2 linked regions of the Rattus norvegicus genome follow. The protein of the gene in region 1 interacts with the protein of each later gene in a pairwise test. Links are inferred from orthologs where the notes say so. Each region holds a gene or a part of one and is shown on either strand. Other genes may lie near its edges.

What was found.
Region 2: the proteins of Klhl40 (region 1) and Spmip4 interact in a two-hybrid assay, tested with the Homo sapiens proteins (2 studies listed by BioGRID and IntAct). The two-hybrid records come from large-scale screens. The link is inferred for Rattus norvegicus from reciprocal best matches to the Homo sapiens genes KLHL40 and SPMIP4.

Annotation. Positions count from the first base shown.
Region 1 is NC_086026.1:130,317,455-130,321,769, forward strand, and holds the start of Klhl40 (kelch-like protein 40), read left to right. Parts: upstream 1-1,338; 5' UTR 1,339-1,424; coding exon 1,425-2,576; intron 2,577-3,356; coding exon 3,357-3,517; intron 3,518-3,815; coding exon 3,816-3,923; intron 3,924-4,024; coding exon 4,025-4,210; intron 4,211-4,315. UniProt on the Homo sapiens protein: Substrate-specific adapter of a BCR (BTB-CUL3-RBX1) E3 ubiquitin ligase complex that acts as a key regulator of skeletal muscle development.
Region 2 is NC_086022.1:80,994,978-80,998,792, forward strand, and holds part of Spmip4 (sperm-associated microtubule inner protein 4), read right to left. Parts: intron 3,486-3,815; coding exon 3,311-3,485; exon of another isoform or gene 3,033-3,310; coding exon 2,941-3,032; exon of another isoform or gene 938-2,940; intron 46-937; coding exon 1-45. UniProt on the Homo sapiens protein: Microtubule inner protein (MIP) part of the dynein-decorated doublet microtubules (DMTs) in flagellum axoneme. May serve to reinforce and thus stabilize the microtubule structure in the sperm flagella.

The sequences.
Region 1 (4,315 bases):
GTTAGGAACCAATTCTATTGTCACCGTCTTCTGTTCAGGTCCTTGGAAAGTGAGGTTGTGATCACAGACATTTTTGTACCACATGTAGTAGCCGTGTGGACCCAGCGAATTGCTGGTAATGTTTCCGAGGAATGTCCCACTGTCCAGAACTGTCATGGAAACCCTCCCAGCCCGCCCTAAGCTAGCCCTTGAAGTTGCAGAAAGGTGGGCAGCATACCTCTGTCCAGCTACATGCCCCTCTAGGACTGAGTGACCTGACCGTCACTACTCAGGAGGGACAGGCAGTAATGTTTCTGGAATCACAGGAGGGATGTGTGACTCAGCCCTCCCCCCAGGTCTTTTCTCCTATACCCCCACAAGCCCAAGGTTATAAACAAGTGACTCAGAGGCATGGTTGGGGAGCGCTCCATTACACCTCCTACCAGTGTCCCAGGGCTAAATTTAACCCACAGCTGCAGCTTTTGGCGCTTGGAGAATTCGTTAATCTTGGAGGCTGAAGCCCATGTGTAAATTTGGGGGATGGACAGGAGTCCAGAGCAAAGTGGGGATTGAGATTGGGTATCCTGGCTCAACTTCTCAACTCCTCAAATCACAGACGACAGCTACGGGGCCCCCAAGGCCAGGGAGAAACATGGTAAATCTCACACAGATTGAGGACAATGGGACAGAGTTATTGAGCAGTAATCAGACTCTTGGAAGTTCCACCATTTGGACACTAAAATTCAGAATGCTATTAGAATATTAAAATTTAGGTCTATCCTCACCCCCACTCCCACCCCAATAGTAGAATCCTAGGAAATTAATTTTCTAGCAGGCTTGACACCTTTGAGTCCACCCTGCAGCTACCCCAGGGTCTCTTGCCCTTAGCAGAGCTGAGCTGAGACCCTTGGATTCTGGCTCCTCTCCCTCCTTGAATGGGAAAGGAAACTGAGGCCCAACAGAGAAACACCTACCCTTACTGAGCTTGGGCAGAGGAAACTCCTTCCCATTTTGGGTCTCTAAACAGAGACTGCCAAGGACAAAGGCATGTTCACCAAGCAGGAAACCAAACATACTGTAACCAGGGGTGGCTACAGTCCCCTTCGTGGGTAGCCACATTTCTGGACTAAGGAATCCAGAGACAAAGCTTTCCTGTGTGCTGGGCTAAGAGACCTTCCAGTTGTGGAAAGGTCCAGACACACCCCACCCTCGCCCCATGATCCCCTATCTCTGACTCAAGGCTGCTCAGGGAGAAAGCCTCTGCTCAGCTGTCCCCTGTGAGTCATTTGCAGGAGGCCAGGCGGCTCCTCTTACAGGGTCCAGGCATCCTCTATATATAGCCCAGAGAAGACAGCTGCACAGTCAGTGCACTGCCCCACAGGAGAGCAGAGGTGTGCAGGGCAGCCCTTGACAAACAGACTTGCTGAGTTCCAGAGAGCCGCACCATGACGCTGGGCTTGGAGCAGGCGGAGGAGCAGCGTCTGTACCAGCAGACGCTCCTGCAGGATGGCCTCAAGGACATGCTGGACCACGGCAAGTTCCTGGACTGCGTAGTGCGTGTGGGTGAGCGCGAGTTCCCGTGCCACCGCCTGGTGCTGGCTGCCTGCAGCCCCTACTTCCGTGCGCGTTTCCTGGCTGAGCCAGATGGCGCGGGAGAGCTACGCCTGGAGGAGGTGTCGCCTGATGTAGTGTCCCAGGTGCTGCACTACCTGTACACATCGGAGATCGCGCTGGACGAGGCAAGCGTTCAGGACCTGTTTGCCGCGGCGCATCGATTCCAGATCCCGTCCATCTTCACCATCTGCGTGTCGTTCCTGCAGAAGCGCCTGTGCTTGGCTAATTGCCTGGCTGTCTTCCGCCTCGGCCTCCTGCTGGACTGTGCGCGTCTAGCTGTGGCCGCGCGCGACTTCATCTGCGCACGTTTCCCGCTGGTGGCACGCGACAACGACTTCCTGGGACTCTCAGCTGATGAGCTGATCGCCATCATCTCCAGCGATGGCCTCAACGTGGAGAAGGAGGAGGCAGTGTTCGAGGCTGTGATGCGCTGGGCCAGCAGCGGCGATGCCGATGTGCAGGCCGAGCACCAGCGTGCGTTGCCCACGGTCTTCGAGAGCATTCGCTGCCGCCTGCTGCCTCGTGCTTTCCTGGAGAGCCGCGTGGAGCGCCACCCACTTGTGCGCTCCCAGCCTGAGCTGTTGCGCAAGGTACAGATGGTGAAGGACGCACACGAGGGCCGCCTCACTACGCTGCGCAAGAAAAAGAAGGAGAAGGGTGAGCAGACAGCTCGGACCAAGGAGGCCAACCAGGGCACAGAAGACACCAAGGCTGAGGATGATGAGGAACGAGTGCTGCCCGGGATACTCAATGATACTCTGCGCTTCGGCATGTTCCTGCAGGATCTCATCTTCATGATCAGCGAGGAGGGCGCTGTGGCGTACGACCCAGCTGCCAACGAGTGCTACTGTGCATCCCTGTCCACCCAGATCCCCAAAAACCATGTCAGTCTCGTGACCAAGGAGAACCAAGTCTTCGTGGCCGGTGGCCTCTTCTACAACGAGGACAACAAGGAAGACCCTATGAGTGCTTACTTCCTGCAGGTGCCTGGCCTGCCTTGGGAGGGAGGGACTAGTGCTGGGTTCTGGGAAGGGCCTGCGTCTACTTGGGGGTCTGTCATTGGATCTAGGACCTTTGATTGGCAGCCAGTTGCTTGAAGGGGAAAGAGTTACAGCCAGTTTCCAAAGAGGCCCAGCGGAGGGGTTGGAGGGTCAGAGACAAGTGCAAAGAATCAATAAACAGGGCTTTGGCAGAAGTGCCAGGACCGGGTGGGGAACAGATTATCACACAGAGAGCACCTTGCTTTCTCCTTTCCAGGGCAGGAAACTGAGTCTCAGCAGGGGCTGGGAGGCAGGTGAGCCAGTCCAGGTTGAGGATGCCACTGTGAGAGCTCAGAGGCAAGGAGAATCTACAGCCTGACCTGTGGTTTTGAGCCTTGTCAGCTGGGTGAAATCCAGAGATGTGAAGGGGGAGGGGAGGGAGTTAACACTGTTGGTAACCCAGACAGACAACCCTGTCACGATGGCCAGGTGAGCTGGTATAGGCAGCCAGGGGCTGATAAGCAGCTGGGTGCTAAGGTCAAGTCCACAGGCCCCACAGCTGGAGGAGGTGAGGGGCAGCTCTCCCAGGCCGTCTGGGAGAAGTTTCTGAAGTTAAATGGTATCAAGTGTCTATCCATACCATGCAGCTACTGGACAACTCTCTGAGGTGGGCCCCTTGTACTTATAACCACTGGGTTAGGCAGACACAGATGGTGGGATGGAAGGCTATAGATTTTAAGGGGTGGGGGAAAGGGCTGACCCAAAGATACTGCCCGCCCACAGTTTGACCACTTGGACTCTGAGTGGCTGGGGATGCCGCCTCTCCCCTCACCTCGCTGCCTCTTCGGCCTGGGGGAGGCTCTTAATGCCATCTACGTGGTCGGCGGCCGGGAGCTCAAGGACAGCGAAGACAGCCTGGACTCAGTCCTGTGCTACGACAGGCTGTGAGTGTGTGTGCAGGGGTTGGGGCCACCTTGGGGGACAGGATGGTCTGGGGCAGAGGCCATAGGGTGGGGCTAGGACCACAGTAGCAGCCAGGAGGCCTGCACAGGTGCACGGCCATCGGGTGAAGACCTGAAAATAGTCCTTGAGCAGAGGAGTAGGTGGGTTGGTTCGAAGGCCCAAGAGCTCAGGGGAGGGGAATGTACCCAACGCAGTCTGGGTGTGTGTCGTGGGTGTGAATTCGGAGAGCCAGACTCCACAGGAGCTTAAGCTGCACTCCGGGCTCTCTCGTTCCTCCAGGTCATTCAAATGGGGTGAGTCAGACCCGCTGCCCTATGCGGTTTACGGCCATTCCGTGCTTTCACACATGGACCTTGTCTATGTCATTGGCGGCAAAGGCAAAGACAGGTGAGGTTTAGCCTGGTGGCGAGGAGGTTCTGTGTGGCTGAGGGGCAGACAGTTGTCCCCCACCCCAGCCTCTGTCTTCACTCACCCCATCTACCCCACAGGAAATGTCTGAACAAGATGTGTGTCTACGACCCCAAGAAGTTTGAGTGGAAGGAGCTAGCACCCATGAAGACAGCCCGCTCACTCTTTGGGGCCACCGTCCATGATGGCCGCATCTTTGTGGCTGCAGGGGTGACAGACACAGGGCTTACCAGCTCCACAGAGGTGTACAGCATCGCAGACAACAAGTACGATCTCCGCCCCCAACCCTGTGGCGGTGTACCTATGTCAGCCCTGTTTGCCCTGCTGAGGGTCACAGGCCTACGTCCCCATGTTGATTTGGGACATTGGCA
Region 2 (3,815 bases), on another chromosome or scaffold:
ATCCAAAGGTCTAGGAGGTTTTAAGGAAGGATGGAATTTTTCTTGCTGTACCAGTGGAATAAAAGGGGGAAAATAAACTAATTAATAAATGTAATATTATAACGATGTAGCTACCAGCAGGCTAATCTCATACTCATTTTCACTATCTTAGTAAACAGGAGAAGTGAGGGAAGTGCACACACTAAGATACTTCTGTACTTATTTGAAGACATGAAGTTGGGCCCAAATAAATACATACTTCTCTTTTACTGGCTTTAGGTAAAATGGAAAATATATAGGTTTTATTTGGCTAAAGACAAGTTTTTCTTCAAGTGTGGAAATTCTTAGCTCTCAAAATTTCAAAGATACAAAGGGACTCACTGGACAAAACCTTATGAAACCATGATTGTGCTGACTATCCATCTTATGCAGTTATTTAAATCATCACAGGCCTCAGCTGAATCACAATCACCTCAGAGGTGGCAGAAAGTGGAGTTCCTAACTTTAGTTCCAAGACCAGGACTTGTGAAGTCTACAGTGGGGTCTGAGATCCCTTATTTTGGGAGGGAACAAACTCCTGCACTGTGAGCTCTCTTCCCAACGAAAGAGCGTGCATTTTAACAAATGTTTTGGGTGCAGCTAAGGCTGGTGCCATGCTAAATGCTTGGAGAAGCACTATGTTGAGTCTGTGTCTGTTTACTAGTTTTCGGGACTGAGCACAGGGCCTCGCACATGTTGAATACATGCTCTGCCACCAAGGTATACCCACTGCCCTGTCTGAGCTTTTGGGATGTTTTAAAAGCGTGGATTCAGTCAAACTTGGAAACTCCAAAGATAGGAAGCACATTCAGGATATCATTGCTGGAGCTATGTCTGCAGGGGAAGAAGGAAGAGGTGGCATGTGTTCTATTTTGTGGCAGAGGCTTGAATGAAAAGCTGTATGCTTTTGTTTTGACAGATGCACATTTAAAATTTGTACAGTTTTAATGAAGGCATACTTCACAATGAATGAAGGACAGAAAGCCAAAATTCTAACTCTGGTAAATGGTATGCATGTCAAATCTTAAGGGATAAAGTATATACTAAGCTCTATAGTTTAAAATGTGTAAAAATAATAAAATTATTGATGGGTGGTTGGAGTAATTATGCAAAAGACTGAATAAGCATTGATAGCAGAATCTAGCTGGTGAGTAGACAGGTCTTAAATGAAAATTATTTCTGCATGTTTGAAAATGTTTATAATATGCTAAATAAAACATCAAAAAGAAGTATACATATGTCCACATCAGGGAAGGTAATAATTATGAGTGTGTGTCTTGGGGTGGGTAGGGATGTAGTTTATTCGTCAGGATATTATTTACTCAGAAGCTTGGGTTCAGTTGGCAGTGCTTCATTAAACTGGGCACAATTTATGGCAGAAGCCTGTAACCCAAGCACTAGGGAAATTGAGACAGGATTGGGAGTTCAAAGTCATCCTTGGCTACACAGAAAGTCTGAGGCTAGCCTAGGCTACATGACACCCCATGTTTGGGGAAAAATGAGCAGTGATAACATAGCAACAGTAGCACAGACTTAAAGAGTAAGGGACTTTGGAGGATCGTCCTGGAGAATGATCCTTCTGAGTGATTCATTGGAGAAATCTCCATACTGATCAGTAATTGTTATAACCTTTAGCTAATCAAGCTTTGGTGAATATGAGGCAAAGACCCCAGCTTCCTGACATGTTTCACTAATTTGTCATTAAAAAAAATAGGATATCAGACTGTAATAGTATCAGCTGTGTAAGCAAGAGCTTTTAGTACTTCCTTTTTTATGATATATCACAGGCTGGCTTTGAACTTGATATGCAGCTAAGGATGACCTTTAACTCTTGAACCAATTACTTCCAAGTTTCAAGTGCAGGAATCATAGCTGTGCCCCACCATGCCTGGTTTACGAAGTGCTGAGCAATCAAACCAGGATGTCATGCCTGCTAAGGTAGCACACTACCAACTGAACATCTCTAGTTCAGGACTTGCATCTCATGCTTTACAAAGCTTCACAGGGACTTTTATCTTCAGTAACACATGCTCTCCTGAACTTAGGCATGCATACTGAGCACACATCAGTGTCGAAGCATATAACTAATCCAACAGAGAGTGCCCATTGCAAGTACAGAATCAAAACAATCAAAAGGTCCTTGGTGACTGATGAAGGGCAGTTTCTGGACCCAATCCAGGTTTTTGATTTGGAATCCGCTTAACAATGCTGAAGCTAATATAACATTAAAGTGCTTGTTGTGATCTTAAAATTATCCATATTTTGTATGCTTATAGTTATATATATTTCCACAATTTATAGCTTTGAAAATTACGTTTTCAAAATTTATATTTATAGAGAATATAATTTAGGCTTTCAGTAAACCAACACATGAATATTAGGTCATTTCACATTCTTTATATAATTGGTCTAACAGATTAAATAGTTTATTACAGGGCTTGATAATTTCTTTCAAGCCATTTATATAATCAATTGTCCATTGATATAGGCAAAAAACTTAATTGGCTTTTGATTGTAATTCAGCCAACTCTCAATTATTGTGATTATTAGGAAGAAGTCAGTCATTTTTTCAAAAGTAATGGTAATGGTAAGATACACAAGTTTGCAGAGATCCAGAATTGAAAAGAAATCATGAAGTTACTAGCTAAGTTGTAAGCAAATTCTTTTGTGAATTATTTTATCAACAGTAGCATGACAGAAAATATGTTTAACGAATAATACTGTGAAAAAGTTTTCTTTTTCCAAATAGTGGCAAGGATATCTGAATCAGTTCCAGTAAATTCAATTATCTTTGAAAACCCACTAAGTTGTCCTTTTGCTTAGGTGGCCACCAATGCACAAGACACAAAACATGGGAAGAGCAAGGAGACGATACCTGGATAATCTCCCCCAAATAACTGAGAGTTGACTGCAATTACTTACAGGCTGTGGGTCAAATCCTATCTGTCCAGTTAGTTCTGCTAGCTCCTTCTCACGGTAATCATCCAGCTCAAGGGGGCTCATAGGACCTAGACCTTAATGGAAACATTGTCTTATTATTTTGGTAGAGATAAGTGAAAAATGATAATTAAATTACTCTGTAAATAGGAAAACCTGCCCACTTTATCGTATAAATTAGAACCAATAAAATGTAAGCCAGCCCTACCTCCCAGTCACCCACTTAAGAAACTGAGCTCTCCCACTGATTTGCTGAGAGCATGGAAGAACGTCAGGAAACAGAAGCTTGCGGCAGACAGCATTTGCTGAGTGTTCCCCTTCTGTTTCCATTATTTGTACTGCTGTGAACTCATACCTGTAAAATCATGAGTGTATGAAGTGAGCCAGTGAGAACGCTCAAGATTTCTCTGTATATTGGCATCCTTTGCAGAGGTCATAGTATCCCACGGAGTCACAGATGAGTTAGGAGCAAAGGTTTTAGGAGGCTTGGGGTAGAATACTGGCTTGTTTTTCTCAACACATTTAGGAAACTAGAATAGGAACATAAAGATTGCTGTTACAAGTGTATCTACCTGAGTAAGGACTGCTTCACTGTCCAGCAAGCAGCAGTTGAGGTCATTTTCTTCATTAATTACAATGTTCAAGCCAGGCCTGGTGGCTGTAACTATAACCACATTTTATCACAGAGATGCTAACATCTCTTCTAAAAGTCTCTGAGAACCTAGGTTGGAGTTTGTCCCTGGATAGTTTATTGCTAGTACAGTTTCATTAGCCGTCCTGAGGGTTCTGTGTACTGCTGGCTGGTTTTAGCCAAAAATGGCTGCTGCTTTGTCTTCTGTCCCTGAAAGGAAACTGCATGA